Stegostoma tigrinum: one gene and its partners. The protein of the gene in region 4 interacts with the protein of the main gene of each other region in a pairwise test. Links are inferred from orthologs where the notes say so. Each region holds a gene or a part of one and is shown on either strand. Other genes may lie near its edges. The genes, in order: tfg, serf2a, znf385c and protein boule-like.

Region 1 (7,079 bases), on a different chromosome or scaffold from region 4:
GCCAAAAGGGATTGATAAGGTGGTCATCGAATAGATGTCCCCCCCCTTGTGGGACAGTCTCAAATAAGTAGGCATAGATGTAGTGAGAGTAGCTAAGTTCAAAACTGAGATGAAGAGAAACTACTTTTCTCAGAGAGTTGAGAGTCTGTGGAACTCACTGCCACAGAGACAGAGGTAGAATCAAATCAACTGATTCAAAAGAGAAATAGGTGTTTCTGATGAAAAGCGAGATAAAGGGCTACGGGTTACAGGCAGAGAAGTGGAGTTGAGACCAGCATAAGATTTGATATGCTCATGTCAATGCCAAGAGGGCTCAAAGGACTGAACTGCCCATTCCTACTCCCAATTCCTACGGCCCAATGTTCCTATGAGTCGCGTTGCCTCACTGAGGATTAAATCCAAAATCACCATCCGTATCATTTACTTGACATAAATGCAAAAGTAATATAAACAGGGATTTAACAAATCAAATGGACCCCACTGTGCCTAAAAGCTTGAGTATGACCAATGAAATATTTTTGGATGGAAGAATTTTGGATATATACTGCATATATTCATTTCATTTTTGTAGGGAAAGGTACAGATTAAACGTGACATGGTCAATTCTTGACAACATATATGTCATACATACAAGAATATTCATTTATCATCTGTATCTGGTCTCTATTATGATTATACACAATGTTCATGTGTACTCAAAAATCAGATCTGAACTCCAACATCACAATTCCAAACGTAACTCAAAGTCAATGCAACAAAAATCAGTAAATGTATGATGAGCTGCTAGCCTCTGAGGTAGTTACTTCTTTTTAACGATTTCAGTGTCTAGGCCTGGATTATACTTGCGAAGAAAAGTTTTGTATATTCATGTCCCATTCTTTTGCCTACAAGCTTAGCAAGATATTAAGTATTAATAAGTATTAACATAGATTGGGGTTATCTAACAACATCACTGTCAAGAATTCGAGGTACAAATGGATTATGATTAAACACATAAGTAATAAAACAGCATGTATAAATTAACAATAGATGATATTTTACAATAAAATATGAAAAATATGCCCCAAAATGCTGAGAAATGCTCCAGTATTAAATTCCAAGTTTCCAGGAACATGTTCTCACCTCTTATTTACCATGATATCCATACACCTATTCACGAAGAAAATTAATCTGTAGGTACAGTACACTCACATATGCAATTAGTACCATACTACTGCAACTACGAGTCATTTGCAGCTTTCCCGTCAAAGTGCAAGTTAGAATTGATAATTCTGGAATATTTAGTATTCTGCTCAATAGCAAACGACAAGGAACATTTGACTCAAGGAATCGGTATCACATCAACCCAAGGGCACTTCAGGCAGGTAACATAGGATAACTGATCCAAATTCAAACTGCAACTGACTCCTCATGCTCCTTCAATTCATCCTGTTGTCCATTATCAAACCTTTAACAAACGTCCAAAATTGTTAGTATCTTAAGTTTGTGTTTGATTGGACCCATCTCTTCGAGAAGCAGTATAACCAAACAAGTGAAATGCAATTTTATGACAATCTACATATAAAATATTCTAACACTTGCACAAGCATTTTAAATCAATAGTTTAAAAAGCTTGCTGACAGAAAATCATCTCATCAGATAGACAGTTGCTGTCACTGCAGAAACATCATTTCCTTCATTGAAAATAAATGTTCTTTTCCTCAATTACAGACATGCTGATTGATTCAACTTTTTTTACATACTGAAACTCTACTCTTCAGCAGCCAGTTCCCTGTTTTCCATACACTTCGAACCAACCATTATGTATCACTTTTATACCTAACTCATCCCAGAAATCCTTCCAACATAAATCACAACAAACTGCTCAAAACGGTTTCTGCCCCCAGCCAAACTCAGGACAACCCCTTCCACCAAACACTGGTCCAAAGTTTACACAGACCCTTTTGCCACATCCTCCAATCTGTCTCAGAACCCACATTCATCCAATAACCCTGCCAAATTCCTCCCCCTGCTGACTGACCTTCCAATTTCCCCACCTCCCCCCTTCCCCAACCCCCAGATCCCTCCCCAACCCCCACCTCTGTCAACCTACCCCCAAAAACCGACGTCCCCAACCCCCCACCAACCTACACCCCAAATTCCCCACCTCGCCTACCAACATACCCTTCCCCATATTCCCCACCTCCCCCTCCGACCAACCCTCCCCTAACTTCCCTGCATCCCCCACCGACCTATTCTCCTAAATATACCCCTCCCCCACTGATCAACCCCTCAAATACCCCCTCACCCACTGACCAAACCCCCAAAATGTACTCCTCCGACCTACCCCCCCAAAACGTACACCCCTCCCCCGCCGTCCTACCCCCCAAATATCTCCACCCCCCCCCACCCAACTAACCCCACACCCCACCCCCCCACAAATGTCCCTCCTTCCCCACCAAACTCTCAGAAGACCTGTGTTCTGAACCGGGACAGATTTACTTCCTACACACCCAAACTCCCCGTCTCCGCTACCAAACTACCCTCTCCCTATATTCCCACCACCCCCACCGACCTCCCCGCCACCAAAAAAAAATGATGCTGCTTGGCCTGCTGTGTTCATCCAGCTTCACACTTTTGTTATCTCAGATTTACTTCCTGCCGGGTCTCACGTCTCTCCCACGGCAGGAAATCACCCCGTTCCCCGCCAACCCCTCAACCCTGGATCTGTACGGAATGAAGGAATGAGCGGCTCCGAGTGCGAACGGATGACACCAGGGGCCAGCCGGCTGGTTGATGGGAGCCGGGCCGGGAGTAGGCCTGGGGCCCGCTCCTCACTTGGACCGGCCTCTCCGTTCACTGCTCAATCAGTACTGAAGGAATGTGTTTGTGTGTATGAGAGAGAGAGAGAGAAAAATACAAACCTGTGGCTGGGAGTTTGCGGGGTTTTTTTTTGAAGCGAGCTCAGTGCCTGTCCTTCTCTCCGTTTCCTACAAACGCCAAGTCCCTCCCCTCTCTCCTCCCGGGCCTGCCGTCTGGACGTGGCAAAGCGCAGCGAGCATGCGCACTCACACATGAAGGTTGGCATTTCCCTCCCTGCATTCAGCATTTTAACATTTTTCAGGAAGTCTGCCCATCTGAAGGATTTGAATTCCATAAAAAGATACATTTCTCCTTCTGTTAATATAGTTTACAGGAAAAAAAAAGTAGGCCATTCACCTCTTGGACTTGTTCCACCAATCTGGCTGATAATTCCAACTCAGGACCTTGTCCCTTTTTTGAAATACCTTTGATCTCTTTAGCCATAAGAACTGTATCTCACTCCATCTTGGAAAACATCCAATATTTTGGTCTGAATTGCTTTTTGTAGCGAGAATTCCACAGCCTCACTATCTCACCTCAATCCGAAAGGGTCTAACCTCTACCCTTTGACTGTGACCTCTGGTCCTGGACTCCCAGATCATCAAGAATATCCTGCTTTAATGAAGAAGGCTCACCGGACCCAAAATGTTATTTCTGATTTCTCTCCACAGACTTAATATTTTGGGCCCGGTGACCCTTGCTTTGAACTTCCTGAGTTCGGTAGAAGGGTCACTGGACCCAAAACGTTAACTCCGATTTATTCTCCACAGATGCCGCCAGACCTGCTGAGCTTGCAGAAACTTCTGTTTTTGTTCCTGATTTACAGTATCCACAGTTCTTTTGGTTTTTCTTCTCTCCACAGATGCTGCCAAATCTGCTGAGTTTTCCAGCAATTTCTGTTTTGTTTCTGATTTCCAGCATCCACAGTTCTTTTGGTTATTTTACATCCTGCACGTGCCATATCTAATCATTTAGAATTTTATACAGTTCTATGAAGTCCTCTTCTTTTAATCTTCAGTGGACATAGTCCTGACCAATCCTGTCTCTCTTCATACATTGGTTTTGCTGTCCCAGGTATTGGCCAGGTAAACTTTTGGTGCACTCCATCCATAGCCACAATGATCTTCCTCAGATACGGAGTCCAAAATTGTGCGCAGTATTCCAGGTGTGGTCTCACCACATTATAATGGCAAAATTATAATTTGTCATATTTTAAAAACCATTTTACAGGGAGTGAGTGTCATTGGCCATGCCAGCATTTATTACCATGCTTACTTAGCCTTAAGAAGGTGGAGATGAGCTGCCTTCCCAAGCCACTGCAGTCCACATGTTGTAGGTACATTAGCAGTGCTGTTCTGAATGGACAGGAATGTGTCTGTCCTCTAACAGGTTTAGTGAGTGAGAATTGTGAGTATTGTGCAAAGGGAGATTGGTTCATTTAATCAAATCTTTCCTCTTGAGGAAATTGTAAGATTCTGTCAAATGCCATCAATCAAATATCATCCAATTCTGTTTTCAGAGCAACAAACTGTCAAAATCTGCTGCCAAACACTGCAAATGTGCAGGTCATCTCTACATTCAATGTTTTCCTAAATAGACAAAGTCAGAAGTCATATGTCACCAGGTCATAGTCCAACAGGTTTATTTAAAATCACAAGCTCCAAAAGTGTTGTGTGACTTCTGCCTATGTCCACCCCAGTCCAACACGGACATCTCTACATCATTTCTGAATGGAGCTACCCTTCAGCTTCTATAAATGCTGTCTTGACCAAAACATTGCTGCTCATGTCCTATCTCACTATCCTACTTATTGATCATGCATTTGCTGTCTAGAATCAAAAAATTAGAATGTAGGCAAAGCAATAATTAGGAAGACAAATTTAATGTTGGCTTTTTAATGTGGGAATTGCAGTATAAAAGTAAGGAAGTCATATTACAACTTTACCATACATTAGTGAGACCATATCTAAAAATTATGTACAATTTCAAACTCCTGACTTAGGAAGGGATATCCATGCATCGGTAACAATTCAGAGAATATTCACTAGGCTAATTCTTAAGATATTGAGGTTTTCTTATTTGGAAAGGCTCAGCAGGTTGAGCCTGTGCTCTTTAGCATTTAGAGAAATGAGAGGTGATCTTATTGAAACATATAAATTTTTAATGCAGCTTTAAAAACGCTGAGAGAATGTTACCCTCATTGGGAATTATGGAACTTTGGGGCATAATATTATTAAGACTCCATGAAAGACTAAAATGAAGAGGAATCTTTCCTTTGAGTGCCATTATTCTTCCAAATTCTGTTCCACAGAGAGCAGTTGAGGTTGAATCATTGAATATATTCAGGACTCAGTTAGACTTTTCTTCAACAAAAGAGCCACAAGTTCTGAGTGGCAGGCAGGAAAGTGGAGTTAAAACAATAATCAGATCGATCATGTAACCTCCTTCAGCATGTTCTATATAAACATAGTCAGAAATCGCACAACTCCAGATTATAGTCCAACAGGTTTATTTGAACACACCACCTTTCAGAGCCACAGGAAGGGTCTTCTGAAGAAGGGTCTAGCATCAGCTTTCGTGCTCCTGAGACGCTGCCTGGCCTGCTGTGTTCATCCAGCTCTACACCTTGTTATGTCTTTCAGAGCCACAGTCCTTCTTCAGGCATTAGTGAGGGAGGTAGTATCAGACACAGAATTTATAAATAAAAGATCAAAGGTTCACACCATTGATGTACTAAACAAACCTAAGATGCTGTTAAATCTTCAATTAGTTAAAAAATTTTAATTGATTAATCCACATATGTAGACCCCCAAATTCCTTTCAAGTCATGGTCCTGAGAAAAGTGAAGGTTTTATCAGTGTAAACAAGAGATGACATTTTAGGTCAGACAATGCATGTTAGGTGTGAGGCCTTGTTCAGAATCTGTTTGTGTTTTAGTTTGGAGCCAGACTGGTTTTATGTCTAAAGTAGGAAGTAATAAAACACCATATTGACTGACTGGCAATAAATTGTGTGCTTTTTGAACAAAATAAGATGTATCTACAAATATAAATTCACCCCATAGATTCACGTGTGTATATGAGACGGTGGGGAACGGGTGCGTGGATTCATCAATGGTATGATACTATCTCTCCCGTTAACACCTGAGGAAGGACTGAAGCTCTGAAAGCCTGTGTTTTCAAATAAGCCTGTTGGACTATAACCTGGTGTAGTGTGACTTCTGATTTTGTCCACCCCAGTCCAACATCAGCACCTCCACATCATATATAAACATAAGTTTGAGCACTTTACAGGGAGAGGGAGATACATACTGGGCAATGGATTCTGAGAGTTGGCAAGGGAAAGTGTTTTTGGAAATGAATTCAAGACTTGGTTTAAGTCGCTAAAACAGAGGTAGGAAAGAATAAATAGGACTGTAATCTGGAATCAGAAAAATAGAGCTGATGGATAGAGATGTAGGGTTGGAGATGACTTCTCAGATAGATTTGACTGAATTGAAAACTTATTGAAAAGAGCTAATGAAGTAATGGCTTAGAGCTATGTAGAATCATACTTAGGAGAGAATTTGGGCTGAAAACTTAGTTTATTGAGATGGGAGGCTGGTACTTGTTGAAATGAGAATCATGGATGAAGGTTTCAACAACAGTACAAGTGAAATGGGAAAGAGGTCAGAAATGCTCAGGTCAGGTGGAAAAAGACTCTCTGAGATAAGAGCCTGAAATAGGACTTAAGATTATATTGAGTGCTAAGGATAATAACTGGATGATTAAAAAGAAGATGTCAAGAGGTATACAGCCTCTCAGTTTACTGGACGTGACTATGTGGACACAGGAGAATATTTGTTTGACAAAGTAATCAGGGTTTATGAGAAAGAAATTGCATTAGTCAAATTTCTGAGAATTATTTGGGGCTGCAGCAAGTAGGTGGATTTCAAAAATTATTTGAATGATATTTTTATAATTTAAAGGCTCATGAGGTTTGGGTAATGTACTTACATGGCTGGATAATTGGTTGATATGCAGGAAACAGATATTGAACTTACAATAATGTTTCATTTTCAGTTTGGCTGGCCTCTACTCATGGGTTGCCACCATTGCTACTTACAATCTATACTAATGATTTAGTTGAAGGGTCTGAATGTGACTGAAGTTTGCTGATGATACAAAAATTATTGGAAAACAATGCTAGGAGGAAGACTAATCTGCAAATGAGTGTTGGGAAGTGGGATGATTAGCAGA
Region 2 (7,387 bases), on a different chromosome or scaffold from region 4:
CCTACCTCCCCACCTATACTCTCCTCTCCACCTAGCTTCTCCTCTATCCATCTTCGGTCCACCTCCCCCTCTCTCCCTATTTATTCCAGAACCCTCTCCCCATCCCCATCTCTGATGAAGGGTCTAGGCCCGAAACGTCAGCTTTTGTGCTCCTGAGATGCTGCTGGGCCTGCTGTGTTCATCCAGCTTCACACTTTGTTACCTTGGATTCTCCAGCATCTGCAGTTCCCATTATCACTGACTGAAAGGAAATGCTTGCATCCTCATCAGTTAACTATGACATGTTAGGGTGAAGACACTGCTAATCTGTTTTAAATGGGTACACTCACCATAACAGAGTGCAGCATTGGTTCAAAACTACTCATTCTTAAGAAGAGGCTGAGGAGCTAGGACCTATATTCTAGAACATAAGAGCAGAATTAGACCATTTGGCCCAACACACTCTGCTCTGCTATTTGCTCCTGGCTGAAATATTTCTCAACCCCATTCTCTTGCCTCCTCCCCACAATCTTTGATCCGCTTACTAATCATGAACGTATCTAAGTTTGTCTTAAATACAGTCATTGACTTGGCCTCCACAGTCTTCTGTGGCAATGTGCTCCATAGGTTCACCACCTTCTGGCTGAAGAAATTCCTCCACATTTCAGTTCTAAAGAGTCATCCCTTCACTCCAAGGTTGTGCCCTCAAGTTTTAGTCTCTCCAACCACTGAACATATTTTCTCCATGTCCACTGTATCCTGACCTCTCAGTATTCTGTAAGTTTCAATCAGATCCCACCTCATCCTTCAAAACTCCACTGAATAAAGAGATCTCAACTTCTCCTCATATGACAAGCCCTTCATTCCTAGAATCATTCTTGTACACCTCCTTCAAGGCCAACTATCCTTAGATACAGGGCCCAAAACTGCTCACAATATTCCAAATACGATCTGACCAGAGCCTTAAATAGCCTCAGCTGTCCATCATGCTCTTATATTTTAGCCCTCGTGAAATAAATGCTAACACTGAATGTGCCTTCCTAACTGCCAACTGAACATCCATGATAAACTTAAGAGAATCCTGAACGAGGACTCGGAAGTCCCGTTATGCACAGATTTCTGAAACTTTCCCCATTTTAGAAAATAGTCTGCGCCTTTATTCCTCCAACCAAAATGCACAACGTCACACTTTCTCATATTGTATTCCATCTGCCACTGCTTTGCCCACTCTCCTAATTTGGCCAAGTCCTTCTGCAGTCTCCCTGCCTCCTCAACACTACCTGTCTCTCCTGTCTTTGTCTCATTTGTAAGAAAACGCCTCAGTTCCTTTTTCCGGATCATCAATGTTTAACGTGAAGAATTGTGGTTCCGACACTGACCACTGCGGAAATCCACTAGTCTCCAACTGCCATCTCTAAACATATCCTTTTATCCCCACTCTCTGCCTTCTGCCAATCAGCCAATCCTCTATCCATGCCAGTACTTTGTTTCTAATGGGCTCTTATCTTAAATGGCAGCCTCCTTAGTGGTACCTTGTGAAAGGCCTTCTGGAAATCCAAATAGATCACATCCATTGCTCTCTTTTCTTGAGCCTCTTCTGAGTTTAGCAGAATTAGACATGACGTAGAAAGTTTTTTTCCCTGGACTGTTTAGTCCAGGACCAGGGGACACAGATTCAGCATTGAAGGCTGGAGTTTAAGTCCCATTAATCCAGTGGTATGTAATAATATCTCTGAAAATATCCTAAAAAGACACCATTTAAAATGAACATAAGGACGAACCACTTCAAGCAGAGGATGGTATTTTGAATTTTCTAACTCAGACAGCTATGGAAGCTCACTCAATAAGTGGGTTCAAAGCAAAAATTGACAGATTTCTAATTACTGATGACACCAAGGAATGTGAGGATAGAGCATGAATATTGTTTTGAAGGAAATAATCAGCCATGATCTAGAATGGCACAACAGGCTTGAGCAGTTGAATAGCATTTGCCTACTCCCATATTTTTAAATGTCTGGTAAATACCTTAATGGGATTAGCTGCTTACATGCTTGCTGACATCACTGATGCATGCCACTTGGTTTCAGATTAAAGTAAGAAATGGGAAACTCAGAACAGGCACTGTAGGATATTTGTGAGCTGCTTTCTTTTGGCAGAGATAACAAGGTGTAGAGCTGGATGAACACAGCAGGCCAGGCAGCATCAGAGGAGCAGAAAGGCTGACATTTCGGCCCTAGACCCTTCTTCAGAAATGGGTGAGGGGAAGGGGATTCTGAAATAAATCGGGAGACAGGGGTAGGTGGATAGAAGATGCACAGAGGAGAAGATAGCTGGATGGGAGACAGACAGGTCAAAGAGGCGGGGATGGATCAGTAAAGGTGAGTGTAGGTTGGGAGGTAGGGAGGAGATAGATCAGTCCAGGGAGGATGGACAGGTCAAGGGGGCAGGGTGAAGTTAGTAGGTAGGAGATGGGGGTGGGACTTGAGGTGGGAGGATAGGATAGGTAGGAGGAAGGACAGGTCAGGGAGGCGGGGATGAGCTGGGCTGGTTTTGGAATGCGGTTGCAGGAGGGGAGATTTTGAAGCTTGTGAAGTCCACATTGATACCATTGGGCTGCAGGGTTCCCAAGCAGAATATGAGCTGCTGTTCCTGCAACCTTCGGGTAGCATCATTGTGGCCCTGCAGGTGGCCCAGGATGGACATGTCATCTAAGGAATGGGAAGGGGATTTGAAATGGTTCGTGACTGGGAGGTGCAGTTGTTTAGTGCGAACTGGGTGTAGGTGTTCTGCAAAGCAGTTCTCAAGGCTCCACTTGGTTTCCCCAATGAAGAGGAGGCCACAACGGGAACAGCGGATACAGTTTACCATATTAGCAGATGTGCAGGTGAACATCTGCTTGATTTGCAAAGTCTTCTTGGGGCCAGGGATGGGGTTGAGTGGGGAGGTGTAGGGGCAGATGTAGCACTTACTGCATTTACAGGGGAAGGTGCTGGGTGAGATGGGGCTGGAGGGGAGTGTGGAACAGACAAGCGAGTTGCAGAGAGAGTGGCCCCTCTGGAAAGCAGATAAGGGTGGGGAGGGAAAAATGTCCTTGGTGGTGGGGTCAGATTGCAGATGGTGGAAGTGTCAGTGGATGATGCGTTGGATCCAGAGGTTGGTGTGGTGGTATGTGAAGATGAGGGGAATTCTGTTTTGGTTGTTATTGGGGAAAGGGGGTGTGAGGGATAAGTTGTGGGAAATGCGAGAGACCCGGTTGAGGGCGTTCTCGACCACTGAGGTGGGAAGTTGCTGTCCTTGAAAAACAAGGACGTCTGAGATGTATGGGAGTGGAATGTCTCATCCTGGGACAAATGCGACTGAGGCAAAGGAATTGGGAATAGGGGATGGAATTTTTGCAAGAAGGTGGGTGGGAGGAGCTGTATTCTAGGTAGCTGTGGGAGTCGGTGGGCTTGAAATGGATATCAGTTTCTAGGTGGTTGCCAGAGATGGAGATAGAGAGGTCCAGGCAGGAGAGAGAGGTGTTAGAGATGGTCCAGGTGAACTTAAGGTTGAGGTGGAAGGTGTTGGTGAAGTGGATGAACTGTTTGAGCTCCTCGTGCGAGCACGAGGTGTTGCCGATATAGTCATCAATGTAATGGAGGAAGAGGTGGGGTTTAGGGCTAGTGTAGGTCTGGAAAAGGGATTGTTCCATGTAATCTACAAAGGGGCAGGCTTTCTTTGCCACTGAATGCAAAATCCAGCCTGGTGTGTGCGATAATTTTTGACTTCCTGTGATAAGTATTTTTTCTCTTCTATCCATTTTTCCATTATAGATTCCTAAGTTTCCTATCCTCTGTCTTAGGGTCTGTTAATTGTTTTGTCAATCCTTGCTTGAGCCTGAGCTTGATCCTCAATGCGTATTACGCATTGCATATTCATACATTTTCTGCTTCATCCCACTCTTCATCTCATCATCAATCATGGAATGGTGTATGTGTCAGCACTAAAATTCCATCAACCATTCAGTGGAGGGACACTGAAGCAGGTGGATGACCAGAGGGATTTTTCTGGGGAAGAATAAAGAAGTTGAAATACAAAATTCTCTGAAAATTGAAAGCATCCAGCTCATGTAACGATTAAAGTACGAGCATTTTCCAAGGAGGAGCACTGCAGATAGATCCAAATAATTGTATCAGTTAACAATCTTTTGCCAGTGCATCATAAGTCAGTTGTGAAAGTTACCAGGGTTTGGTTAACGGTCCAAAAAAGACAAGGGCCCAATGGGTAAAGGCTCAAATCCCCTCCCCCACGTGAGATCCTCTCGCAACCGTGCATGTTGTGGTGTGACGACACGTGATTGACAGCGTACCAGCCATTCAGGAAGTAGGAACTGACGGTAGTAGCTAATCAGGAGGTGGTGGGCGGGGTTGAAAGCAGTTCATCAGGTTTGGTCGTCTGCCCGCGGCGGTTAGCAGGCGGCAGCGGATTCGGCTGTGGCGGCGGCGGCGACGGCAGCAGCAGGGGGTGGGAGATTAAACAAAAGGACAGGATGACCCGTGAGTAGCGGTGAGAGAGATACGGTGCCCGCCTCTCTCTTTTCCGTCTCCATGAAACGACGGGTTCGGAGCTGAATTGTCGACCGGCGAGGTTTAAGGAGGGAGGGGTTGCGAGCGTTGCCTTTCTGAGGCCTAGGCCCCGATCGACGGGTTCGCCCTTGGAGCGAGAGGCACGGGGTGGTGGGCGGTGAGGGCTGATAGGCCCCTGGTTTGCCACTCCTCACCCTTTTCTGTTTGCTTTTCGTTGTCTGAGAGCGGCCTGCTCCTGAGTACAGGCACCTGGACCTGGCCCCTCCTCTCTCCCTGCCACGTCCGCACTCCGGGAATTTTCGTCGGCTCAAAATAAATCGGCAGGCAGCCGTTAAAGGGTAGGGGGCGGGATGACCCTCCTGCAGCTTGAGGGAAATGGAACCGCAGCTCCCTAGTAACAGACGGAGGATCGGCCTCGGCCCTGACTCTTGAGTGAAAGCACCGAAAGTAGCGAAAGTGAGGAGGTATGGTAGCTCAGTGGCTAGATCTGCTGCCTCACAGCCCTAGAGACCCGGGGTAATGTGAACTGCAGATGCTGGAGAATCCAAGATAATAAAAGTGTGGAACTGGATGAACACAGAGCCCAGCAGCATTTTAGGAGCACAATAGCTGACTTTTCGGCCATAGAGGCCCCTAGGCCCGAAACGTCAGCTTTTGTGCTTCTAAGATGCTGCTTGGCCTGCTGTGTTCATCCAGTTCCACACTTGGTTACCCACGGACCCGGGCTTGTTTGTAGCCTCGGGCGACTGTCTGCACATTATCCCCGTGACACTGTGGGTTTCCTCCCACAATACAAAAATGTGCAGGTTAAGTGGATTTGCCGTGCTAAATTGCCCATAGTGTCCAGTTGGTATGCAGGCTAGGTGGGTTGGCCATGTGAAATACAGGGTTACAGGGATATTGTAGGAGGTGATATGTTGTTTAGAGGGTTGGTGTGGACTTGGGTTGAATGGCCTCCTTCTACATGTAGCAGTTGTGGTGTGAGCAAGAGGAGGCTATTCAGTCCCTTTAAACTGTTCCATCCTTCACTAGAATCTCAGAACACACGTAATTAGAGTGGGCCCTTTGACCCTACTTTGCTGTTCAATTAGGTAGTCAGATTGTTGATGTCGGCTGTGCCTTCCCATTTGTCTCAATGTTTTTTATGTTCAAATATCTGTTAAGATCTTTGTGTACAGGATTTGGTGTTTTAAATTCGCTTGTATGAAAACCTGACTGTCTCAAGCTGCTGTTGATAATTCCTCATTACATGAGGAAAATAGTTGGCTTTTTTTGGGTCGAGTGCTGCATTGACTGTGCTGGCTTGTTATTGGCTTTGCAGTCTGCCTTCTGGGCTCAGTGACTTGAGCCACCCGGTCTGGCTCAGCCACATCCAAACTGTCTGATGATTAGGTCCAAAAATCAAGAGTGGGTTTACTGACGACTGGTTTTGAGATACCTGTTCAGTGACTGAAAGTTCGCAGCCCTTTGGGAAGAGATTCTCCCATTTGAAATTCTTCAGCTCTCTTTGTCTGTTGCCCCATACACTATGCTAACCTTGTCTGATACAAATCTCTTGTGGCTTGTAAAGCCATTGCAACATTGAGCTAATTTCTCTCAAAAAAGCCATTCTTGTCTGGTTGGAGTTGGTAAATGGGTTTGGGGGGATCGGCAGAAGAATACTTTCTGAATTTCTTTTTTGCTTGCCTGGCTGTCAGTTGATGATTTCCCCCATAAGTTGAGGAATTTCTGTCCAAAACAATTATCAGTTAAACTCCTTGATTTAACACATGCACTGTGAAAAGTATTGTTTTGCTTGCTAACAAGACAAATCATACCTTGCATAAGTGCATTATGGTAATAGAAAAAAACATACTAGTGGTATAGCTACAGAGAAAGATCAGCTCAAAAATGTGAAAGGTCTGTTTGTAAGTCAGATAAGTGGGGAAGATTCAGTTCTTAAAGCTGTTGGTAAGTTTGTTCAAACTTTTGTATCTTCTGCCCAATGGAAGAGGATCGATGAGAGTCTAACTGGTGGGAGGGGTCTTTGATTATGTTGGCTACTTTCTCTTCCAGTTTTATGGGGTTCTTGTCATACTTCTGTATCTACTGTTTAACCCATTAAGCCTGTTGTGTTCTTGGTTTGTTATTTTTTTCTTTCATGAAATCTAGGTGCTGCTGGTTATGTGAGCACTTATTGCCCATAACCTTGAAGAGGCTGGTAGGCCAGCCATTGAATTACAATAGTTTGTTTGGTGCACCATAGCATTGTGGGGAAGTCCTTACAAGATTTTGACCTAGTGATATTTAAGAGGTAGTAATGTTCCAAGATTGGATAGTATTGCTTGGAGGGAATTTGTAGTTCATGGTGGTATCCTTTCAGATGTTGAAGGAAAATTCTTAGATAGTTATATTGCATCTTGTAGATGGTACACACTACAGCAACTTGCCTAAATGGTGGTTGGATTGAATGTGGAAAATGGGTGGAATTCCATCAAGAAGATTGCTTTTTGTTTTGGATGGTTTCAAGCTTGGTTTATCAGAGATGTAGAAATTGGAGAATATTCCATCACACTCCTGATGTGGGTCTTGTAGATTGTGGACAGACTTTGAAGAGTTGGGAGGTGTTACTGGAAACCTTCCAGAATCTATCCTGTTTTTGTAGTCAAAATGTATATGGCTGGTTTCACTCCAGTGATAGTATCTGTGGATGTTGATAAGAGCTGATTCAGCAAACGGTAATGCAAGTGACCGTCCAGCTGTAGTTGATCTCATTGAGAACTGTCATTTCTTTGTATTTAAGTGGTACACCTGTAATTTGGCACTTATCAGCTGAAGTCTAATGGTTGCCCACATCATGTTGC
Region 3 (6,992 bases), on a different chromosome or scaffold from region 4:
AGTTTGACCCACATTGATGTTAAGGAGGCAACAGGTAACCCAATAGATAGTAGGAACAGCAGATGCTGGAGAATCCGAGATAACAAAGTGTGGAGCTGGATGAACACAGCAGGCCAAGCAGCATCTTAGGAGCACAAAAGCTGACGTTTTGGGCCTAGACCCTTTGTCAGAAAAACTAGACCCAGAAACGTCAGCATTTGTGCTCCTAACATGCTGCTTGGCCTGCTGTGTTCATCCAGCTCCACAATTTGTTATCTCGGATTCTCCAGCATGTGCAGTTCCCATTATCTCTGACACAAAGAAGAGACAGCATTGTCAGTCAAATTGTGTTGGCAGTAGCTGGCAATGAGGGTGCAAATGTCTGAATGTTACATATGTGTAGGTGTTGGGGATGGAAGGGGAAGGGGTGAGGGAGGGAGAGACCTGGTACAAACTGAGATGCTGCTTGGCCTGCTGTGTTCATCCAGCCTCACATTTTATTATCTTGGTACAAACTCTGATCAGTTTTAACTGGCTATGATGCGGTCGGGCTGCACGTTGACGGTACTGGAGGATATTGTTTTTTCCACGATCTCTCTCGCTCACACTCTCAGTAAACTGATATGAAGATATCTGCAGCAAGGGAAATGGATGATGATGCTGGTAATAATGATGAGGTTCCCTCCTGTACAGGCTGACCGCCACCCACTCCCGGGTCACTCATGAGCGTACAGGTGGCGCGCGCCTGCAGGTATCGGTGAGGGCCGGGTGCCAGCGCGCGCACCCCTCCCCGCCCGGTCGCGCGCCCGTACATGCACGCGCCCCCGGGATGTGCTGCTGTCGGCGGCGCGCCTGCTGCTGCTCAGTCTGGGTTGAGAGACAATGTTAGAGGCAGCGAGGGAAACAGAGCTCGGGATCAGCGCTGGAGGTAGGGTGACTTCTTTTTCTCTACCTACAGGCACATATTTGTGCAGCTTAATTTTTTTTGAAGATCGCGTCAGGGAATAATCTTGCTTTTCAAAAAAGTACTACATTCAAAAAAAATAATTTCAAACAAAAAGAATTCAGATGTGATACCTTGCCAGTTAATCTTGAGTGTGGGAATAATCTCTGAAGAGAGTGGAGGCTTGAGGGAGTCCAGAAAGATTCAAGTTTGGGACGCGGAGAGAGTGAAAATGATGCCTTTCCAGCCCGATTTCAAGGGGAAGTTTATTTTTGCTGCCTTTTATTATCTGCAAGCATTATCTTTCACGGATTTGATTGCAGAATGACTAATCCCTCAGCACCTCAGAGATAAACTTGTGCTGTCGACCTCGTTATACACTTAAATGCATTTCGCATGATGTACATTATAGGTGTTATTTCTTCCTATAAAGGAGAGAATGTCTTGGGAATATTTGGTTGTATTCTGAAGCAATGTAGCGGAGGCGATGTAAATAACCCTGTTTTGTGAATCTCGGTTTTCCTGTACGCAAAAGTTTCACTGCAGGGAAATTGCATTTCATTAAAGAGTTTCTAAAATTGGTTCAAATCATGGAAGCCTTGGGGGATAGTGAGGGATGTCATCGCATTTCAAACAGCGAAGCAACTGGAAACGGTGAACACTTTTTTTTGCTTTCTGTTGTCGAACCAGTTTTCTGAAATACGTCTTTTGGTGAAATATCTTTCACACATCACAACTGCTACCTAAGGCGCACCTCTTGTTTTTCTCAAATAAAAGTATCTTCGAACTGAGAAGGAGCTCGTTTATTTGGAGGCTTCTTGCCCCCTCTGAGCCTATTTATCTCTGTGACTTGTGTTGAGACCAGTTGTGGTAATAAGAGAGACCCCTATAAGGGCGTACAGATATACACTTTGGTGATAATTTTGATGACATGTTTACCATTATGAAAATGACATACCAACTTTGAGTTGTTGACGTTTTTAACACGGTGAGTATTAAACCCAATTTTAACTCTAAGTACTCTATAATGCTTCTAATGGACGTGCTGGTTATCTTAACATGTCAATTGTATTATATAATAGAAACTTTTCAAACGTGCTGGATGTGGTTTCTTTTTAAGTTTTAATGTATTGCTTTTATAGTGGGTAGACATTAAATCTTTATATTCACAAAGAGGCAAATAAACATCCTCCAGGATTTTTCAGTACATTCCAAGCTCACCCAGACAATATTGCTGAGCAGAGGCAGGGAGAGAATTTGGGAGGAGAGAGTGCCTACACACTTCCCATTGGCTAGTGAAGACCAACTTATCAAATGTGATGCTGTTCTAGTTAATCATGAGTGTGTGAATGATCTCTAAAGAGAGCGGAGGCTGGAATGGTTCAGAAATATTCAGGTTTGGGATGCAGATAGTAAATATCGTGCTTCTTCAATCTGTTTTGATTGGCTGAGCCTAAAGGGCACAGATTTCTGTCTCTAGAATATTGGTGAATGCAGCCAATAGACCCAAAGACTCAAATGGAGAGGTAGAATTTATACAATCAGGTAGCAGCGTGAATGATTTGAGGTCTTAAATATATTCAAGTCCTGTACTTTTGGTTGGCTTGACATGTCTCACCTAATTTCAAGTTCCATTAGATCTTATCCCTAAATCAGGGAGTTGGTAGGTCGGTTTGGCTAGATGCTGGTTTGCAATGCAGAGTGACGCAAACAGCATGGGTTCAACAGCATGGGGATTCGCTGAGGCTACCACAAAGGACACACCATCTCAACTTCTCCCCTCACCTGTGGCATGGTGACCCTCAGATTAAACCAGCACTGATTGTCACTGGCTCAGGAGAGAGCAGCCCCATAGTTCTCTGAGTCAGATTCTGAAGATTTAGCCACAGAGTAGGAGAGGATTCCATTTGCATGAAAATTCAGCAGTGATGCAGTCACCCTTCCCAATGCAATAATTCTCAAGAAAGCAAAAGATCCTCCCATCTACTGTTTGTGCTTTTACTGGCACGTTTAATGTTTCTTCACGCACTTAAAAACCTACTCAAACATCAGGTCGTTATACACTTTTGAAAGAAGAAACCCCTAAGACTGCAAATTGGATAATAGATTGGTAGTTATCAAAGAAACCAACATGTCCTGTTGTCAATATAGAAGAAAAAACTCTCCCCATGAGGTTTACTGCCACAATCAAAACCCAGCAATTGGGCAATTTTAATGATCTTGAACATTCCGCTGCGTCTCCTGTCAGAATATTAGATCAGTGAGTTGATTAAGGTGTGCTGGGATTTTAATTATGACAATCAGTTGACATGTGGTGACATTGCTTGTCGGCACACCTAGAGTAAAGACAGTTCCCACTATCTTAACCAGTACGACAACAACGATTGAACAATCTGTTTGTAGCAATTCATTACCTCCCTGATATGAATGAGTCAACGAGGCTAAAATTAAAACTAAATTTTTGATAATTTATATCAAGAGAGTCTTCAAGCCACCCCCTTGCTCCTTCATGCTCACACTTTGGTCAGAAGATTAAGATCTGAAAATGACTGCTGGTGACATTATTAATAAATGGTTTGACATATTTAAACAGAGAGTGTTGCCTACCATCTAAATGTAGGATTAACCCATTTATTTTCAGTAACAGACAGGGGAATGTTATATGAATATGTTAAGTGTTTGCTGTTTCTGCCAGGAGGAGATTTTCAGTTTGAGAACATAAACAAGATGATATAATGTTTAAGAGGACACAAGTTAATATGTTTGAACCATAGGTTTTCAGATCTATGGTATTCAGAGTATATGAATGATCTTGCAGACTACATTTGTTATCAGCAGTGCCTGTCCCTCAGCTGAAGGATGATGTCTACTCCAGTGGGTCTTCACTTGACTGAACAGGCCAATTCTCAGCCCAAAGATCTTTCGAGTAAATGTGGCAGGATGTCCCATGAGGTAGCGGGATCTGGAGTGCAGGATTTGCTTCCTTTCCTTTCTTTCTCTGCCACTGCTCTGCCTCATTATTAAGACAATAGGAATCAAAGTATGATGCTGCTTGATGGACAAGCTATCACGATTTTGAACAATTGATAACAAGTTCCTCTCAGTCATTAATGTCAGTGATGCCATGCTTCATGGAGAGCTCCAGAGTGCGTTTGATTACATTTGTGTCATTTGGTGAAAAATAAGAACTGTATAATTTACTGTATAGTCTTTTTGTGTCACCTTTCTGGTTTGGCAACTATTATCATTACCTCTCGTCTGATTTTGCTTATCCATATTCTCTGGCATACTCTCTTAAAGTAAAGATGTTTGCGCCCTGCAAACCAATTTAGCAAACTGTTAAATTTGCTTAATTGCAATCATTCAAACATCATGATGTTTGGAAGCGCTTTGGAGGTGAGATGATGTATGTTTGATCTATGCCATTCTATTGGGGATGTAAACGATCCTTTGTTTGCTGCTCTGTTGTGCACAGGACATACTGGTGTAGAAGTCAAGATTCCAAGACTAAAGTCTTTTGTCAAAAAGTAAGAGATTGACTTCTTCATGAGTAACATTTTGGAGCGGTTGAAGCCCACTGTCTCCACTCATTTTGCTATCTCAGAGTTGTTCCCACTAGCTGTTCCCACAAATCCTGCCCCGAAAAGTACCACACAGCAGTGAAATTATAGCGTTGACATCATATGTTGATATGCTGAGACATGAAGGAATGGAATACTCATTTCCAATGGTGTGTTGTTCCATGATTCTATCAGAGCATCAGAGCAAGTTTGAGCTCGGTGGTCGGTGCATGGTAAGTACAAGGTGTTTGGATTTTTTAGGCGTAAAATTCTTTTTCTTAATTTATGCACAAGACATATGAAAATGACTTTGTTTGGGGGCAGAGGCTGGGACTGACAGAATCAACCATTACCTGAGTATGAACAGTATTATTTTGTAAACAATGTCAATGTAGGAATTTTTTTTGGATGAGATGTTAAATGAAGTGTGACTGCCTGTGCCAGTTGTTCAGGTGGCTGTTTAAAAATCATAATATGATATCAATAACATAAGATTATGACTGTTATATCAGTCCAGCACAGTGGCTACAGCCCAGAGGTTTTGTGTCGATGCAAAGTAAAATAAATGAAGCACTGGGGACTGTGACAGTATGGTGGTATGCAATCTGTCCCTGCTACCACTCAGCAGTAAAGACAATTTGATAATAAGTTTGTCCACTTTTCTGTTGGCACACTGAAGGGCTCCATTTGGTGCACGGGGGGAATACATGGATTTTTAAATATTAAATATTTAAATATTAATTTAAGCACACCAATATTATTTGCAGCGCAAGTTACTTCTATCTGCCTATATGATAAGAGCTTTAGCAACATTTTGTTGCAGCACTGTTTTTATTCCATATATATAGATGCTGATTATTTAAAATGGAACACTTGTTCCTTGTACAGTCATGGCCCTCAGAAAATGTTCTCCTCATGAAGCAAGGGCACCAGTAAACAGACCTAAAGTGGAAGAGCGAGCAACTGCATACTCAAAACCATGACAACAATTACAGAAGCAATAATTTGCCACCGCTTTCAGATAAGACCACAGTTTCTAATACATCACTACATCACCATCTGTCGCATTGCTTTAATCTGTGGTGATTCTCATCATATCCCTGTTTTCTGACCTTGTGTCAGCTGCAGTGCACATCATTTTGTTTCAGTGCTTTTTCAATCAAGAAGTTGTTGATCAGCTTTGGTGCAGAACTTTGGCACAACTGACTCAGCTGGCAGTATGTTCTGACAGAGGCATCAACCAGAATTCTGCTTGGTGATTCCATGTGAATTTGGATGAGATCACGGCAGGAAGGTACTGCAAGTGGTGAGCGTTATTATTGCCTCACTATGTACCCTTTATTTGCCTGTCCTAGCTGAGATCACTGCTAACCTCTCCTTCACCACCTATCTCATGAAATAATTGCTATAGGATTGAACTCCGGCCAGTTTATTTTCCATTAATAATTCCTGGGGCTGCCCAGAGGAATGCGATGGTAGGTGACAATAACAGCGTCTTGCAGTGTTCCTATGGAGCATGAGATGGTAGGTACGGCCGATGCTGGAGAATCTGAGATAACAAGGTGTGGAGCTGGATGAACGCAGCAGGCCAAGCAGCATCAGAGGAGCAGGAAGGCTGACGTTTTGGGCAGAGACCCTTCTTCAGAAATGGGGAAAGGGAAGGGGATTCTGAAATAAATAGGGAGAGAGGAGGAGGCGGATAGAAGATGGATAAAGGGCAGGATTAGTGGAGAGGAGACAGACATGTCAAAGAGGCAGGAATGGAGCCAGTAAAGGTGAGTGTAGGTGTGGAGTTAAGGGAGTGACAGGTCAATCCCGGGTGGATGGACAGGTCAAGGGGGCGGGATGAGGCTGGTAGGTAGGAGATAGGGGTGGGGCCTGAAGTGGGAGGAGGGGATAGGTAGGAGGAAGGACAGGGTAGGGAGTCAGGGACAAGCTGGGCTAGTTTTGGGATGTGGTCGGGGGAGGGGAGATTTTGAAGCTGGTGAAGTGCCCATTGATACCATTGGGCTACAGAGTTCCCAAGCGGAATATGAGTTGCTGTTCCTGCAACCTTCAGGTGGCATCGTTGTGGTACTGCAGGAGGCCCAGGATGGACATGTCGTCTGAGGCGTGGGAGGAGGAGTTGAAATGGTTTGCGACTGGGAGGTGCCTCCCCGGCTGTCCTCCGTCAACATTATTTTTCCAAAGCAGTTTTGCCCTCCAGGCTTCTTGATATGAACTGTGAAATACACAATCAGCTCAGGGAAACTGACCAAAGAATGACAGAATTATGAAGGTGGGAACTGTCTATCTTGTCAATGCCAGATTTTCATTTCAATATTGCAAAACTCATCAACCTTGCTCTCTCCTTATAGCTCTTTATCTCCATCTGCTTGGGGAGAGGCTTGGGGACTGCTTTGTGGTACACCTACGCTCGGTTCACAACAAACAACTGCAGCTCCCAGTCACGAACCATTTCAACTCCCCCTCCCATTCCTCAGACAACGTGTCCATTCTGGGCCTCCTGC
Region 4 (7,512 bases):
AAAAGGACATTCAGAATGTCTCCTTCGTCCAGGGACTGTCTTTGAGCTGGCAGGTCACAGGCCATGTGCAGTGTACATTTTAATGAAGAATGACTAAGTGAAAGGATACTGGCCTCTGTGCAGTTATTTCAGCATGAAAGCATGAAATGTCATTAGAAATATAGACCGTATGCTGCTTCAGTGCTTCTCACATGACAAGATTGCAATAAATGACCAAAAGTCTTCACCAAGTACAACGTGGCATGCCGCAAGAACTGGGTAGTGAAACTCATGGAAGCAGCATTACGTTTTAGGGACAGAAAAATAATCACAGTGCCACAGCCAACTGAAGGCAATTCCTAAATTTAAATTTTGTTCCTTCTTTAGGATTTCTCTGCCAATGACACATCAAATCTCCATTCCTCCTCCAGAGATACCACAAAAGCAAAGAAAGATGTGCCAGAACTCAACTTATAGAATCCCTACAGTGTGGAGGCAGGCTATTTGATTCATTGGAGCCACAATAACCCTCCGAAGAGCATCCCACACAGACCCACCCACCTTATCCTATCTGTACAAACCCTGCATTTCCCATCGCTAATCCACCTAGCCTGCACATCCTTGGACACTATGGGCAATTTAGCATGGCCAATCCACCTAAAAAGCTGGAGGAAACCCAGACATAAGGAGAATATTTCATAAATTTGGTGATACTGTTTATTTGCCTTCTCTCTCTTTCCATCAACTCCAAAGATTTAGCCTCAGAAAATAAACAGGTGTCTTACGGTTATCGCAACAGATGGCGCACCGAGGTAAGAAGTGAGGAGTTTCTGAGCCTTATTGAAAGTTCAAGGTTCCACAATGAACAAGTCAAGCCCCTGTGCCATTTCTAATGGGTCACAGGGGCTGCTTCATTGCCTTTCCCTACAGTTAATGTGCCTAAAAGCTTTACAAGCAGTTGTTTCACCCTAATGAAAAGATGTCTATGCCATTGGTGGATTAATAGTAATTAACAATTAATTAAAAATACAAAAGAATTTTACAAACCCAGTGTCACACTGGTGCAGTAAGCAATATGAAAGGTGACAAGTGAAAATTAAAGTTTATGATAGACTATCATGTCGAAATGGGGAAAATAATCATGCTGCAGCGTTAGCATTTAATTTCAATTCTTTCAATTTAATTTGATTACAACGTACACCAAGAAAAATACAGCTTTACCACTTTTGTACAACCTGTTTCATACAACAATTTTTACATTCAATATTTTAAATATCTAAATTTACATATTTTATGTTTTCCCTAACTCGACTGTTTGTTTTGCTCTAGCATTCACCTAATGTCCCATGTCAACCAATTTAGAAAACCAGCTGAACTTTTCCTTAACCACGAGAAGCTCTTACCTGCACTCCCAAGAACCACGCATAGTTCAATTCCAAAGTTTCAAATAGTGAATCCATGATTTTCCGTTTTACAACAAAGTTAAGCATGTCAAATTTTGAACTATCCAGTAACTATTTAGTTAAAGAAAAAAACTCGGTTTAAAAAAATTCCATCCGCTCCATTAGTAACAACGCAATTGGTAATGCTGCCTGAACTGGTCAAACTATCCACACAAAAACATCTACAAACTTGCTTGTGTGTTTTGTTACCCAGGAGGGTGAAACTTATTCAAACAATAATCCCCGTCTGGGTGCCCCCGCCCCCCATTGCGGCGCAAGCGCCAGTCCGGCAGCCGTTACCCCGTGCACGCGGCTGCCACCAGCTTCTTTCCCCACCGCTAAGGGCAACGACGCTTGGGTGAAGCTACAGCGACTATAGTTTTTTTTCAAAGTAATAAGTCACAAGAAAACAACATAAGCAACCAAAATAAATGTGTTATTTCCAATTATGAATTTGGGGCTCCGAACAGAAAGCGGCGCAGCGGATTTCGTTTGAGCCATCCTATTCTATTAAAAAGTCGCTCACCCCTTTTTTTGTAAATGAAATAATTTATTCAATACCGGTTTATTATACATGTAGTCCGGCCACGCCAATTTACAGCCCGTGGCAACTGGCTTAATCTCCGTGGGGATCGGACCAAACTGGTGAGAACTGGAACCAGTGCGCCCGCGCAACGGCTTTTGGCGGGAATCTGCGGAATAGGCGACGCTCACAAACTCCCACATGAACAAATAAACCAACAAAAAAAATCCCCAAACACCATGGAGATGCCAATGTCGGACCTACTTAGTACGGCCTTTACAAATTAAAACCTACCATAAACATCGCCGGCAATGTAAGTTATCAAATTATACCGTACCATTCCTTCTTCCCCACCCCTCCCCGCGCCATCATCAAATAAATCACCAAACAACTGAGACTGTGGAAAAGAACGGAATCTATTCAAAAACAGATCCGTTCAAATTGTCACGCACTTCAATCTTGTTTACAAATGTGTTCGTACTCAGACCGCGTGAACGCTGGCTAAATTTCGCACCTCCGTTCCCGCAAATTAAGACCGGGAGCACGTGATCTAGTCAAATAACACCAAATTCAAAAAGAAACACACCGAAAGTGAAATCCTCGCCTAAAATCTCGGTCGCCGTGATGGCTCCGTTCACACTGGCGTCGTGATTATGCGGCGGCGTGGCCATGTTTTGCCAGCACACCTTCCAAGCTTCGCCCACCTCCCAGAACAACAAGTTGCAACTGTTGAGGTCTCTGTCTCTCCCAGATGTATTGATAATTTACATAAAAATATCTGTGAGTGAAGGAATCAGCCGGCGCTGTAGCTGCGATCGCAATCCCATTAGAATCGGACTGGTGGTTGTGGCAGACAACCCCTCTTCCCCAAGTGTGAGGAAAGCAACTTCACGGCGACCCTTGCTTCCCCCCCCGCCCCACCGCCCGTCCAGCTTCATTCCAGCTGTGGCGACGCTGCCCAGGCCACTCACCGCTCCTTCGGTGTCCATCTACACGAAAAAACGTTGGTTTCGGGGGGGGGGGCGTAATCACAAAATTTTACTCAACCCTCAAAATAAAAGCCCGTTGGTTCTGTACTTGGGTTTGTGGGCAACTGGCAGCACCTTAAATTACCGGGTCATACCACATCGAGTCAGTGACCGGGGCGGCCAAACCCCCACTGGCTCCACTCACAAATCAAGCCAATCAAATCCCAGGGCCACCGCGTCCGCCTCAAATACCATTAAATATTCAGTGCAAGGGACCGCTTATTTGTTTCCCAAGTAACGAGACCTTGCATTCAAGCAAGAATAAAAATATGTGATTTGTAATTTTCATTTTAGACAGCTTTACTTTCCTGAAGACACCACGCAACTGTTGTTGTTGTCAATCATCTTTCAGTTACTTCTGTGCCCGTACAGTTAGCGAGGTCAATCATGGACTTTAATTTGCGCTAGTAAATTGGATTTGGGTTTTTGTCATAACGGTCGTGTTGAGAAACAATGCGCACAACGACCCGAAACTACTAACTGCGGCATGCCTGGAGGGCTCGGTAGTAGGCAAAGGGGGCGGGGGTTGCAATTCGCCCATAGGAAAGGGTGTGAGGCCGAACTTTTGCTCCCACACCACCATTCGTGCGGCTTTGACCTCCCTTGCCCAGCATTCCTCTGAAGTATCAGTTGACGGATGATCGCTTCAGTAGAAAATTGAAACGATGTCTTTCTTCTAACGTGTCAAGCTGTTTGAAAGCACTTTTATAATACATCTTGCTTTTTTAAATTATTGAACGGTAGCATGCATCCGACTGGCCCAAACCGTACTTGTCTGCCTATTTAATGTGTGTTTCTAAACGCAAAGTGCAATATTATATCGTACTGCCACCTACGCATACATGAATAACCAATAGCTAAGCAAATTCAAGATCATTTCGTAGACCGAAAAAACAAGTGAATGTGGAGATGTAAAATATATTTCATTCAATTTTATCAGTTCAAACTAAATGATTGTAACTATTCTTTCGTTAGGAATTGTGAATTTGCACCCTATGGGTCAAAATACACATAGGCACTCAAAATACTTTGTCTGCTTTGGAGGGAATCAGATAAAGGATAAACATCTCTCAATCCCTTATCAACGTTATCAATCCTATTTTTGAACATTTTCAAGCAAGCAATGATTAAGTAAACATTTCAGAAATGTCTAATAACTTGAAACAAATTTTGAATGGACTTTTGAATGGCCATGCATAATTATTTATTTAAGGAAACTGTAGTCCTAATAATTAAGTTATTATGTACCCTATAATGTGCTGATTAGGAGAAAATTATTTGACTCACTCATGGGATGTGGAGGTGATGAGTCACTTTAAAACAAAACGTGCTGCTGATCATGTGGTGCAGGAACAGTACTGTTGACAGGAATTCCAGGATTTTTGATCTAGCAATTATTTCCAAGTCAGGACAGTGTGTGGCTTGGAGATAAACTTTCAGGTGAAATGTTCCCATTCACCTGCTATTCCTGTTCTTTTAGGTGAACATAAGGAATAAGAACAGAAATAGCTCATATGGGCATTGAGCCACCCATGCTATTTAATTGATATCTGAACCCAACACCACTTTTCCAATGCTCCCCATATCTTTTAATTTCCCTGGGAGACCAGAAGCCCTTCTATATCAGCTTTAAATACATTAATAGTATAGTATTCGCATACAGTTATTGTAGAGAGTTTCAAAGATTTGGAACCCTTTGCATAAAGTTTTCCTCATCTGTCCTAAATTATCAATCCCGTTTCCACAGATGGTGCCTGGTGTTCCAGACTCTGCAGCCAGAGAGAAATAACCTTGCATAGGTTACGCTATCAAGTCTCTTCAGAATTTTAATGATTCAGGCCCAATATAACTCTTCTTCAGAACAGAAAATGGATGGAAATGTGTTGGGTTTTATGGTATTGACAAAGACAAGTGGAACAGAAGGGAATATCAGGGAAAGATTAGAGAATAAGGGAGAATGGAGATAAAAGGTGTTTCAACTTGCTTCGCTCGCTGTAGGAAAGCCATCCCATCTTAGAACTAATCTGGTGAATTTTTAGTGTCCTATCTCCTTCTCAAAAAATAAAAACCAAAACTGTTCACAGTACTCCAGATTTCAGAACAACACAGCCCCGTATTTTTAGCTCAACCAAAGTAATCTGCTATCTGGTGGCATGCCAATACAGGCAAAGAGATATTAGAAATTTTAAAACTTTTTAAATTGATGCATTATTAAGATGGCTGCCAAAAGGATGAGGTGACCTTCGCAACTTTCACACAGTTTATCAAGCTTCTGGAAAATTGCAAGTGAATTACATGGTAGGGTGCAGTTCTTTGAAAGAGTATGCTTAAACAATACTTGTGGAATTACACACTTGCTGTTATCAAAGTTTATTCCAAAACATGAAACAAGGCACTTCTAAATTAAATGTCTCCAAGTTTGCAATGTAACAGAGAAAAGGTAACGAGATGATTTATAAACAAAGACGAAAGGTCACCATTACTTGCTGTTAAATTTCAACAGCCAATAATTATACAACTGAACCGGTCCTCAAATGCTGAAATTCTTTATCACAAGAGTCAGAGCAAACCTGGCAGTCTGCAGAAGAACACCAACAATACGTCAGCTGTAGCAAAATGCTGCACCACAGTTGCTTTTCAAGAACCACAAGACTAAGATTTGTTTAATAAGTACCCGCCCCTCCTTCCTGATTACAAAAGCTCTAAGATTATTTGTAAAGAAATTTGACCTCCTGAGACAAGAATCACTAGTGCCTATCAACATTTGGATTTATCAAGGGAAATGTGTAAATAAATAATTCTCTTGGTTTAAACTCACTCCAGCTGGCAACTTTTCTTTTTCAAGACTTATCCACACACATTACAAACATAATGATTTCAGTTTATCTCTGTTTATTCTGTCTAATAACACAGACATTTATTGCGCTGTCCTTTCAAGGCATTCATTTCCAGGGATTCAATATTCTAATCATTAGTCCAAAATAATTTTTAGCTCCTTGGGGTTTACTTCTATCATCTCCCTTTCGCAGCCTGGTAACATCTAACCCCAGGATTCTCCTTCATAGTCATAATATTACTGGAGATTCATTTGTGAATGTATGCTAGATAAAATCTTCCAGTTTCATTTTAACTCCTTGGGAATTTTGCAATTCCAATCCGATTGTAATTTTTCACCAGCAATGCAGTGTATTAAACCATATAGACTTTTAGCCTGTTCTGAATCTTGGCAGACGAACTGTCTGTGGCTTATCATGGATATCTTAGTCCCTTTCACTCACAAAGCATATTTCCATGGCAATGTAAATCACATGAGCCTTTTATAACAGGTAGAAATGCTGTTTAGCTACCCTTGTGAGTCCCGCTGTTTTGCACCTTGGAATTAAGTACAACCCAGCATTCTCAACACTTTGTTAAGAAGTTGGAGACACACAGTCTATCAACTGTTAGCACACAGGCCATTGTCATTGTTTCTGCATATAAATACCTTGTAGCTTCTTTTACCTTATACAGTGAAGCACATGGTCCCATTTAATCTCTATCAATCAAACCATCCAGGCTAGCTGAAATAATGGGAACTGCAGATGCTGAAGAATCCAAGGCAACAAAGCGTGAAGCTGGATGAACACCGCAGGCCAAGCAGCATCTCAGGAGCACAAAAGCTGACGTTTCGGGCCTAGACCCTTCATCAGAGAGGGGGATGGGGAGACTGTTCTGAAATAAAAAGGGAGAGAGGGGGAGGCGGACCGAAGATGGATAGAGGAGAAGATAGGCGGAGAGGAGAGTAGAGGTGGGGAGGGGATAGGTCAGTCCGGGGAGGACGGACAGGTCAAGGAGGCGGGATGAAATTAGTAGGTGGGAAATGGAGGTGCGGCTTGAGGTGGGAGGAGGGGATAGGTGAGAGGAAGACCAGGTTACGCAGGCGGGTACGAGCTGGGCTGGTTTTGGGATGCATTGGGGAGGGGGAGATTTTGAAGCTTGTGAAGTCCACATTGATAGCATTGGGCTGCAGGGTTCCCAAGCGGAATATGAGTTGCTGTTCCTGCAACCTTCGGGTGGCATCATTGTGGCACTGCAGGAGGCCCATGATGGACATGTCTAAGGAATGGGAGGGGGAGTTGTTTGTTGCAAACCGAGCGGAGGTGTTCTGCAAAGCAGCCCAATGGTATCAATGTGGACTTCACAAGCTTTAAAATCTCCCCTTCCCCCACTGCATCCCAAAACCAGCCCTGTCCTTCCCCTCCTCCCACTGCATCACAAAAACCAGCCCAGCTCATCCTCTCCCCCCACTGCATCCCAAAACCGGTCCAGCCTGTCTCTGCTTCCCTAACCTGTTTTTCCTCTCACCCATCCCTTCCTCCCACCTCAAGCCGCACCTCCATTTCCTATCTACCACCTCATCCCGCCACCTTGACCTGTCCATCTTCCCTAGACTGACCTATCCCCTCCCTACCTCCTCACCTATACTCTCCTCTCTACCTATCTTGTTTTCTCTCCATCTTTGGTCCGCCTCCCCCTCTCTCCCTATTTATTCCAGTTCCCT

The links.
Region 1: the proteins of protein boule-like (region 4) and tfg interact in binary tests that used the Homo sapiens proteins (3 or more experiments, as listed by UniProt). The two-hybrid records come from large-scale screens. The link is inferred for Stegostoma tigrinum from reciprocal best matches to the Homo sapiens genes BOLL and TFG.
Region 2: the proteins of protein boule-like (region 4) and serf2a interact in a two-hybrid assay, tested with the Homo sapiens proteins (2 studies listed by BioGRID and IntAct). The two-hybrid records come from large-scale screens. The link is inferred for Stegostoma tigrinum from reciprocal best matches to the Homo sapiens genes BOLL and SERF2.
Region 3: the proteins of protein boule-like (region 4) and znf385c interact in a two-hybrid assay, tested with the Homo sapiens proteins (2 studies listed by BioGRID). The two-hybrid records come from large-scale screens. The link is inferred for Stegostoma tigrinum from reciprocal best matches to the Homo sapiens genes BOLL and ZNF385C.

What each region holds. Positions count from the first base shown.
Region 1 is NC_081365.1:29,138,129-29,145,207, reverse strand, and holds the start of tfg (protein TFG), read right to left. Parts: upstream 3,018-7,079; 5' UTR 2,904-3,017; intron 1-2,903. UniProt on the Homo sapiens protein: Plays a role in the normal dynamic function of the endoplasmic reticulum (ER) and its associated microtubules. Required for secretory cargo traffic from the endoplasmic reticulum to the Golgi apparatus.
Region 2 is NC_081386.1:9,217,325-9,224,711, reverse strand, and holds the start of serf2a (small EDRK-rich factor 2), read left to right. Parts: upstream 1-4,378; 5' UTR 4,379-4,507; coding exon 4,508-4,514; intron 4,515-7,387. UniProt on the Homo sapiens protein: Positive regulator of amyloid protein aggregation and proteotoxicity. Induces conformational changes in amyloid proteins, such as HTT, driving them into compact formations preceding the formation of aggregates.
Region 3 is NC_081384.1:13,221,429-13,228,420, reverse strand, and holds the start of znf385c (zinc finger protein 385D), read left to right. Parts: upstream 1-3,987; 5' UTR 3,988-4,046; coding exon 4,047-4,068; intron 4,069-6,992.
Region 4 is NC_081360.1:31,528,841-31,536,352, reverse strand, and holds the start of protein boule-like, read right to left. Parts: upstream 3,025-7,512; 5' UTR 2,934-3,024; coding exon 2,916-2,933; intron 1-2,915. UniProt on the Homo sapiens protein: Probable RNA-binding protein, which may be required during spermatogenesis. May act by binding to the 3'-UTR of mRNAs and regulating their translation.